Linked DNA regions of Arabidopsis thaliana. The protein of the gene in region 1 interacts with the protein of each later gene in a pairwise test. Each region holds a gene or a part of one and is shown on either strand. Other genes may lie near its edges.

What was found. Proteins that work in one complex are often made in the same cells at the same time.
Region 2: the proteins of AT4G17430 (region 1) and AT5G07475 interact in a protein complementation assay, tested with the Arabidopsis thaliana proteins (one large-scale study listed by BioGRID).

What each region holds. Positions count from the first base shown.
Region 1 is NC_003075.7:9,723,523-9,729,419, forward strand, and holds AT4G17430 (O-fucosyltransferase family protein), read right to left. Parts: upstream 3,313-5,897; 5' UTR 3,280-3,312; coding exon 2,813-3,279; intron 2,736-2,812; coding exon 1,679-2,735; 3' UTR 1,188-1,678; downstream 1-1,187. Other genes in the region: AT4G17420 (Tryptophan RNA-binding attenuator protein-like protein), read right to left, coding at 2-40, 165-343, 433-472, 561-620, 874-921; AT4G17440 (chromogranin (DUF1639)), read left to right, coding at 4,326-4,898, 5,006-5,137.
Region 2 is NC_003076.8:2,363,504-2,367,388, forward strand, and holds AT5G07475 (Cupredoxin superfamily protein), read right to left. Parts: upstream 2,103-3,885; 5' UTR 2,034-2,102; coding exon 1,856-2,033; intron 1,725-1,855; coding exon 1,324-1,724; 3' UTR 1,203-1,323; downstream 1-1,202. Other genes in the region: PMSR3 (peptidemethionine sulfoxide reductase 3), read right to left, coding at 427-783; KUOX1 (KAR-UP oxidoreductase 1), read left to right, coding at 3,664-3,885.

The DNA.
Region 1 (5,897 bases):
CCTGGCATAAGATGTCCCCACCAAACATTGCCAAATCAAGCTTCACGGAAAGAAACAAGCCAAAGGTCACCAAAACACATAAGAACGAGATAAGGAGATATACTTATATCAAGCAAGATACTAAATACTACGGAAGGAAATCATGGCAAGTAAGAACCACTAACTGGGAGAATCCTTGCCAAAGAAGGTGCAGCGATACCAACAAATCCATCGTTTTGCCCAGTGTTACGAAGAACTATACTACTAACACTCTTTCCTAAAATCCATTGTACAACTCCAACTTCTTGTTCAGGGGTATAAGTATTATCCATCTCAATGGACCCAGACATGTAGCACATTGAACCTAAAGAACCATATATAATCAGTTAACATATACAATCCAACCCAACAGATCTTACAAAACTTAATGAGGAATCATAATATGGAAATTACCAGGCTTAGCAATGACCTTCTCTTGTGGTTTTAACATTATCTGTCAAAAAAACAATCAAATGCTTGAGTATATATGTCAATCACATAAACACAAAATGCCCAGACTACAAAATAAAATGTCGACCTACCTGAACAACCTGTGCTTCACCACCCAAAATTTGGAAAGGTGTGATCGTATCTTCTTGACTCTGCATCATATAACCACTTGTGAGATTCATACTCCCACAGACACATTCAAGAGATCAATTTCTCACCCAGGAAATAGCTTATTAGCATTATCACTGAATTAGATGTAAGTACACATCACATTACTCAACACCTACATGAGAAAGGATCCTAAAATACTCGCGAAGAAGTATATTCGAACACTAGCCTTCTCGATAGTGACAGACAAGAATACGAATCTAAGAGGCGAGAAGAGAACGAAGATAGAAGACAAACCTGATAGACATAAGGCTGAAATGGAGTAGAGAAAAACGGAGCAGCCATGGCGGTGAAAACCGCAGAAAGATCTTCCAAACAAAAACCTCCGAATCCAAATTTCCACAGAACCAATTGGATTAGAAAACCTTTCACGTCGATGCGAGACGATCAGATCGCAGATCCAAATAACACACTCGAAACACTCTGAGCTCTCTCAAAACTCCGGTCGAAATGTTCGCGGTGGATGTCACCGACGGGAACCCAACAAAACGACAGATTAAATTCGCTTAAATCGGCCTGAAGCTGCACGTGGAATCTGTTTACGTGGAGAGATCTCATTGGTCACAAAATACACATCGACGTAAAATTTCATTTCCGGTTTAATATAATTACATTTCTTCTCAACCAACCCTCTTTCACTAGATTTATTTGGTACAAAATTTCTTATTCAATAGCCGGTTTAAAGACATTGGTACAACAATTACAAATCTTGTCGACCACTAGAGACATCTACAGAACTCACAAAACCTTTACTAAGCAACCATCCCACGCAACCTTTACTCTTCCATTGTTGTGTGTGAATAATCAGAAAGGAACCAAGTAGCTTCATCTATTAATAAGAAACTTAGATAGTTTCCCAAATAACTTAACAACACAAAACAATTTAAGAGCCTGTTTTCATCACCAATAACTTCAAGTGGAGACAGATGACAGATCTATCATCTATCTCTATCCATCTCTATACAAAGACCGGCAAAACTTAATAAAATCACTACACATTGGCTCATCCACCAGATGAATCCAATAGAAATGCAGTCTGAGTTCAACTACTACTACACGCATTGTATTTCCTCATCATCTCTACACTATCAGCTATTGTAGACCCTGGAGTACCAACAAAACCCAGTGAAGCACAGCTACAAACAGCTTCCTCTATGTAAAGCTGCACATTGGATCCTCCATGAGGGTAACAATGGGTCTGCATCTTTTTTATACTATCAAGACTCATCGGAATAGACCCAAATTTCTGGCCGTGACTCGCTGAATCAAGTTCATGCTCTGTTCGCGCTAAGAATTCATCTTGTTCCCCTATAAAGTGGAGCTTGAAATTTGTAGAGTTCTTAGACAAATCACCCAAGTAAGTTCCGGTCCAGTTAAATTCAGGAAGGTCTGTCATTACAAACACATTAATTAGACCAGGATTCTTAACGCTCAAAGCTTCCAACTTCTGATATAAACCCGTAAAAGTGCTCTCCCGATGATTCTTGAACTGGCCATCTAGTAATCTAAGTTGTGCACAAAGAAACGGCGCCTTTATGGTTTCTGAAGCAAATTTCTTTCCCGCGATCATTATCTCTCGAACAAAAGGAAGGAAATCGACCTTCTCAACCAAAGATTTTATCTTTGGAGATTTATGGATATCGATATACAGCTCTGAGCCTTTGTATGGAGCTGTGAAGAGGCTCCCAAATGCTAGAATAGCTGCAGACTCAGCTTCTGTACCATGTCCAAGAGTCTTATACACATCTCTTCGCCTTCTCACGTTGGACAATTTCTTTTTCTTCTTGAGCTTCTCATCAGGCTGGAACGAATCTAATCTCCCATCAGCTTCTCCATTTTTATAAGTCCAAACAGTGGTTCTACAATCTTCATCCACAGCATACAAACATTTATCTACATTACCACGAACTCCAGATAACAAATAGCCACACTGTTTCAGTGACTCATAAGCCTGAGACTGTTCAGCTAAATCATCAGTGCATAGAGTCTCCAAGTCAACACCACACTGTAGTGATGCAAAGTACCTAAAATCAATGACTCGAACAGCCGAAGAAGATACCAGCGACGAAATGTCTACAATATCAGCCATCGAAACGTACCTATAAACACCAACATTTGTCACCCACATTGATCAAATTACTAAAACTCATTACGAAAAAAAAAAGAGATTTTGTACCTGTCAGTCTTAAGAAGCTCAATTGAATGATTCCAAACTGAGATTCGTATCTCGCTGGGACTCAAAACCCTAAATTTAGGACAACTACCGAGAGCAACGGCGTGATGATCCAGAATCGGAGGAATAATTAGGGTCCGATTAAGAATTCCCGCCATAAGAAGCGCATTCTTAAATTCCGATAGCTGATTACTGAATCCACTGTGAGGAGCGTACCAGAGAAACTTCTGACCTAGAAGAGTTCGGGTTAGTATCTCGGATCTGCACTGAGGGAATTGAACGGATCCAGAAAATGCAGAGATTGAGAACAAGGACTTGGGCATCTCGGAGTAAGTGATGAAGAAGACGACGATGAAGAACACAACAAGTATAGAAACGGAGCAAAGAAATATCGCAGATTTGTCGGTTTGCTTCTTCCTGTTTGGCCATGGACGTGGGCTTGGTCTACTGGGATTGAAGAAGTTGTTCATGTTTTTTGCTCTGAGGTTTTAGTCGCCATCATTGCGTTGCGTCTAGTTTTGCTCATGTGTAGAAGATGCCAAAACGGTGAGTGTCACTGTTTTGGGCCTAACTAATATTCTCTGATGGGCCTTAACTAAAATAATACGAACTTAAACATAGTTAATTTTAGAAATCTTTTTGTAACATAATCTATACGAAGCTATTTGCGCGTCCACATAACATTTTAAACAAGCAATGGAGATTAGATATCTTGCTAATTAATATTTATGAACTTATTTTTATTTTTATTCTTTTTAAATTTTTGTAAAATAAAATAAAAAATATATGAAAATAAAAGAATATTTAAAAATATAAAAAATTTCTAAATATTTTGTCACCAAAATAATATTAAAAATATCAAAATGTAAATTTCTATTTTATTAAATTTATACACAAAAATAAATTTAGGTCTTTGGACCTAACTAATAATATTCTTTGATGGCCTAGAGAAATCGAATTCACTAGATGATCTAATATTTGTTGATTTTTAGTCCAAAATCGAATTCACTAGAGAAATTAACCTATTTAGCACTTACATGAATATATTGATCATCATTGATAGACTTAAGCAGTTGTAGTCTTTTAAGCTTTTTACGGGTTCTTTTTTTTCTCTTCTTTTCTTTAAGATCTCTTTATTTATATGTCTAAATCTAAACGTAATTTTCTGGATTTATTGTTAACATATATTAATCCCCATATCAGAAGGATGATAATTGATGTTGATATATCAGGATATAAAATAATTAACTAATGATTTATTTTAGCCAACAAAATATAACATACTTTTAACAAATCGTGATCGAATAACAATAAATTCTAAATAACACTTTAAAACACTAAAAGTCTTTTGAAATCATAAACCAATAACACCCCATGAATAAAAACATAATTAGAAACTTACGCATGCATCAGCTTCCGTAAATCTCCTACATCTCTCTCTCTCCTCTCTGCTTTTTACCTTCTAGGGTTTTTGATCATCTCTCAGGTGAATACGTTTTGGTATAATCTCATACCAATGTCTGCGAATTCCAAGTCGGAGAGGTCTGCTTCTCAATCGGCGGAGACGGTGGCTGTTTCTAACCGTGTCGTGGCGTCACGGTCAAGTCGTCAGCCGCGTCTCTCTTTCTCCTCCTTTGCTCCCTCATCAGAGCACGATAACCTGAAGAAGCTGAAATCCGATGAGATTTCTCCCGCGAGAGAGGAAGTGCCGGTGTCGGTGAAGGAGAGAGAAGAAACGGAGGAGGAGGAAGCGAAGAGGACGTGGAATCTTCGTCCGAGGAAGGCTTATGGTGGTTCGAAGAAAGGAAACGGCGTGTTCACGGCGGAGGTTTGCGGTGGCGGCGGAGGAGGAGGTTCGGAGGTGAAGAATCAGAAATCAGGCGCAGGAATTGAGCCGAAATCGAACAGGCAGAGAGGAATCCCGGCGGAATCACCCGGATTAGGCGGTGGTGAGGTTGCAAACGAGAATCATAGGCTTTGGGTTGCTCTAGCTCGAGACGAGATCGAAGAAGATTTGTTCAGCATGAGTGGGAACAGGTCATCTCGCCGGCCAAGGAAGAGGGCAAAAGCTATGCAGAAACATCTCGATGTAAGTCACCAGGTGTTCGACGAATTGCCTCACAGAGAATTCAAAACAATGACTACGTTTTTTTAGTGTCTCCATTTTCTTAGGCAATTCAATGTCTGCCATTGTAGGTCATTTTCCCTGGATTGGGTCTCGTTGGGATGAATGCTGATTGCTTCAGAGTAGCCACTTCTCCGGCTAAGGTTAGCTTTGATCAGTCCACTTACTTGCTCGATGAAAGCTTGGATCAACCTGCCCTTTAGCTACATTGATCTGTAGATAGTATGAAATGGATGAAAGTCTAGACCTTTAGGTGCTATTACAGATTTTATGAAGTTTCATTCTATGTTAGCTTTACGTAACCTAATGGTACTGCTGCTTTAATGATACAAAACCCGTAACAGCGATTGTATTCCATTTGCAGTGATGATCGATGCAAAGGAGTCTTTTGGTGAAGGAAAAAGGTGAAGTCATCTCCCTAATTGAAACTTATCATTTTCATGGATATATGGTAACGTTGTTATGATATTACATTGCTTGATCTTGTTGAGGTTTGTGCTTAAGTAGTTGGATTTTGTTTCTGCTTTGTTGCAGGGTAGATAGGTATGCTGGTGATCGAGAATCCAGATACATCACAGTAGAAGCTAGGAAGAAGATATCTCAAGAGACATGTTCTTGTCTCATATCAAACTTAGTAGTAACTAAACTATAAGTAAATATCGGTAAGGTCATATAATTATAGATATATATAAAGAGAGAGAGCGAGAGGGGTTTGTTTTTGAGTTAGTAATTAAGATGCGTCTAAGTTTAATGGCAGAGGAAAACAACATAATCTATGTTTAAAAAGGGTTTTTTGAAACCATTTATAACTCTTATTAGCACAGACAATGATTTATTAAACCATATATAACTCTTATTAACACACATAGTTAGAAAGTGTATTAAGATCCATATAAGTTTTTTTAAGTACAATAAGGTTTCTAAGAGAATAAAAGCAAATTAAAAACCTGCAGATAACTTTGA
Region 2 (3,885 bases), on another chromosome or scaffold:
GAAATCCAATGCTAATCAATGATCATGAACAGAACAAGAAGAACCTCTCTGAAATCCGTATCTCTACCTCAATTAAAAAGGGAGCAACAGGGGAGAGATTACAGAGCTACTACATAATCTGGATCATACTAAGATCAACGACCAAAGTTACCAACTCAAGCCTCATAATTCAACAAAAATCAAGATTCAATATCATTTCCTTCCTCATATTCTACTTAGATGATCAAGGTTCCAAATTTAAAAAGTTTCAAAGTAAAGACTGGTGATGAAAATCAGAAAGCTATCAGATTTGAGAAAAATCAAGAAATCCCCAAAGCACAACAGACTCAGGCACATCCCAATAGATTCAATAATCCTAAAGACAGAATCTTTCTCAATCCCCGAACTTGAAAGGTTAAAACTTTCAACTCTTGGATCCAAAAATACCTGGCGATTCAAAGTGGTGGGATCATGCCTAGACCAGAACAAATCAAGCAGAGACTCATAGGTGCAATCGTTAAGATCATATTGAACCCTAACAACCTCCGAATGGCCTGTGGTACCAGAACAAACATCTCCGTATGAAGGATTGTCTACGGTCCCTTGGGTGTATCCAGCCTCGGTCTGAGTCACCCCTGGGACTCTCTGAAACGCCAGCTCGACACCCCAGAAACATCCAGCTCCGAATTGGGCAAACTGATTCCCCGGCGCCGGTGTGTCATCGTCATTTCCCTGAGCGATCGGAGAAGGATCCATATTGGTTTGCCCACTTGATCCCAAACCCAATCTGTTGAGTATGTTCATTGAGAAATTTCTAAAGAGAGATATGAACAGAGGAGAGGAGAGAGATGCTGCGAAACTCAAGACGTGTCTTCCGGTAACTAGCGTTTGCGTTTTGGTAGCGATCACGATTAGATAGTGATAACCACAACTTTTAATCGCAGTGAATCATCTGTGATATAGATACGGTCAAACGGTGAATTTACTACACCGAACCAGATAAAATTACCTAAAATATAAACCGATATCGGTTATTTTTTGAATTTTCCGCTATCGAATCGAACAAATACAAATTCAATGTAGTCAAAGAATCTAATTCCTTTTTTTTTATTATACATTGATTGATTAATAACTTTAAGCATAACGTTGTTTACATGTCATTTTTGTAAGAAATTTGCTGAGCAAACAAAACGAAATTTGTATAACGAACCAAAAATTTAGGTTTTAATTTGGTCATGAACTCAAACAAAAATAAAGAAATTCAACAAATAAATACTCTCACTCATTATAGGGCAAATATGAATACACATATACATGAAAACACTTATTATAGATAGTTTTTAATCAGCAAAACCATATGAATGGAAAAGCAAAAACCATAAAATATACAAAAATTCCCATGGTACCCCTCCAACCGCTGTCGCCAACAAAACGGGCGGCTGAGCTAGCGACTCCGGTCGCAGGGTTATTCTTTTTAGAAGATGGTTGAAGAATCCCTGAAGTGGCGGCTTGGGGAGATCCCACGGGAGCCTGAGATGGGCCATTGCCTTCAACATTGACTAGTAACCTCATACCGGCGAAGCAATGGAGCCTATTACCGCATACAAAGAACCGGTTTCCCGGTTTGGAAAGAGCAACGGTCGTGTTCCCGTTTGTGAACGTCCGGATCGCATCTGTTGTGTTGCAATTTTGGTAGTTGTCTTTAGCCACTTCGTATACACTATGCGTCGATGAGTATTGGAACACTTGCAAAAACATTATACACATAATTAATTAGACTAATTAGTTCATTAAGGGAAACTGTAAATTAATTTGAGTTTTTAATTATGTAGTATATATATAGTTGGATGAAGCCAACATGATCAAAGATACTTACTTAGAACATCACCAGGAGAGAATCGCTTGCCTGAAGTCCAAGACTCGAGATCGGAGCTTATGTCCCAACCGGAGCTGTCTCCTACAAAGTATGTCGTTGCGTTACATCTTCTTATTACTACAACCCCAAATATGATGCAGAGATTGAAAAGAAATTGTATCTTCGACGTCTTCTTCATAGTGCACGCTGTTTGTATTTTCTCAATAAATTGCGTTTAATTTTCTTGTATTGCTATAGTTGTCTATATGCATATGTGTGAATGGAATTATGGAAATATATATGTTTTTATATAAGGCATAGGTTAAGGTTGCTCATTGGTGGATAACCTAACTTCACAACCACCACAACATATATGATCTGCTTTGTTCCCTATAGCCTTTTTTTTGTTCTTAACAAATTTTTCGTGTTTCACAATTCATATGATTCATATGCTGTTAGTTAAAGTCCACAACCCTAAAATGGTTAAATCTTGATGGAGATATTGAAGCAGTAATTCATATTTATTTTTTGTTCTTGATTGCACAACATACAAATATAGGGAAGATTTTAATGGCCAGTAAATAATGCTTGTATTTATATATGATCTTGTGGAATGGTGATATTAGTTGTTATGTACTTTTCCTTTTCTCGAAAATACTTGCAGAGGGCTTGGAATTGGCATTGAAGGGGTGTTGAACCATAACTCCTCGACTAATCCTGAGTGTTTCTCTTTACCAAACCTACCTAATAATATGCGTCCAGAGAATTTCCCTTGTAACACTTTTTATAGTTGTTGGAGCATCAGAACTAGAACATGTATGATCGAAAAATTATACTAGATATATGGTTTAGCCTTTTGGGATAAAAAGTTAAAATATAGTCGAATTTTTAAAACATGTACAAGAAAACAATTCTTTTTGTCCTAAAATATAATTTCTAGGATGAACATTTTGTTTGCAACTTTTATTTACGTATTACGTATTTATAAATTAACTAATATACCCAACGAAAAATAGTACTAATACTGTATATCACTAGAAGCTAGGTAGTTGTATTTCGATGAAAAATCGATGTAATATTATTTCTTAATTGCTAGTTGTGTTAAATTATGATTGAAAATTCTCATTTTAATGTCAGTGACAATGTGACATCAGACATTTTTTTGTCTTTCCCAAAGGAAGATAAATGCCCATTGCATGAAGGAACCCGGCGCAATACATTTTACCTAGACCTTACGCATGACCGTATATAACAATTTCATTATTATTTTTACAGAATTGTTACAACTCAAACGACATATATATCGAATTTATCTGTACATGCATTCACATATGTGTCCAACATATTTATGAAGGCTTGAAATCCGGACAAGAGGATGCTTTTTTGCGGAAAGCTTCTTTTTGTTTTTTAGTAGTTGGGACTATGAATGAGATCGAAGTCTCCATTTAAAAATTAAATCCATGTTAGTGTTCCTACTTCCTACTATATCCCAACATCTTATTAATATCCCTCGTCATATATGAATTTGGACATTCTTATACATTTCGTACAACATATGGATGTTCATTATATTATCATTTTGATAATAAAGTTTAGTTTCTTATTGGTACACGATAAACAATTGACAGTTACACATGCTCTAGATATTCCAAAAAGGAAGAATAATAATTTAGTATTCGACCGTCATATTTTAATATATAACTCCGAAATATCAATAAACGACTACAAGCCTACAAACCTTATATATAGAGGAGCCACTCACACTTTCATTTTAGTTATCCCTTCACAATATTAACCGATTTCTCAACACTCAAATTCAAATACCAATAATGGAGAAAGGTGAGGATTCAAGCACATTCAAAATGGGGAATTCTGCACAAGAGAGGAGTTTACCGTATGTACCTGACTGTTACGTCGTCCCGCCTTCTAGCAAACCATGTGACTCAAATTCCGGAATCGTACCCACTATCGATGTTTCTCGGCTGAAAGGGGGAGATGATGAACGTCGAGGGGTTATTCAGGAGCTAAGTTTGGCATGTCAACATCTTGGT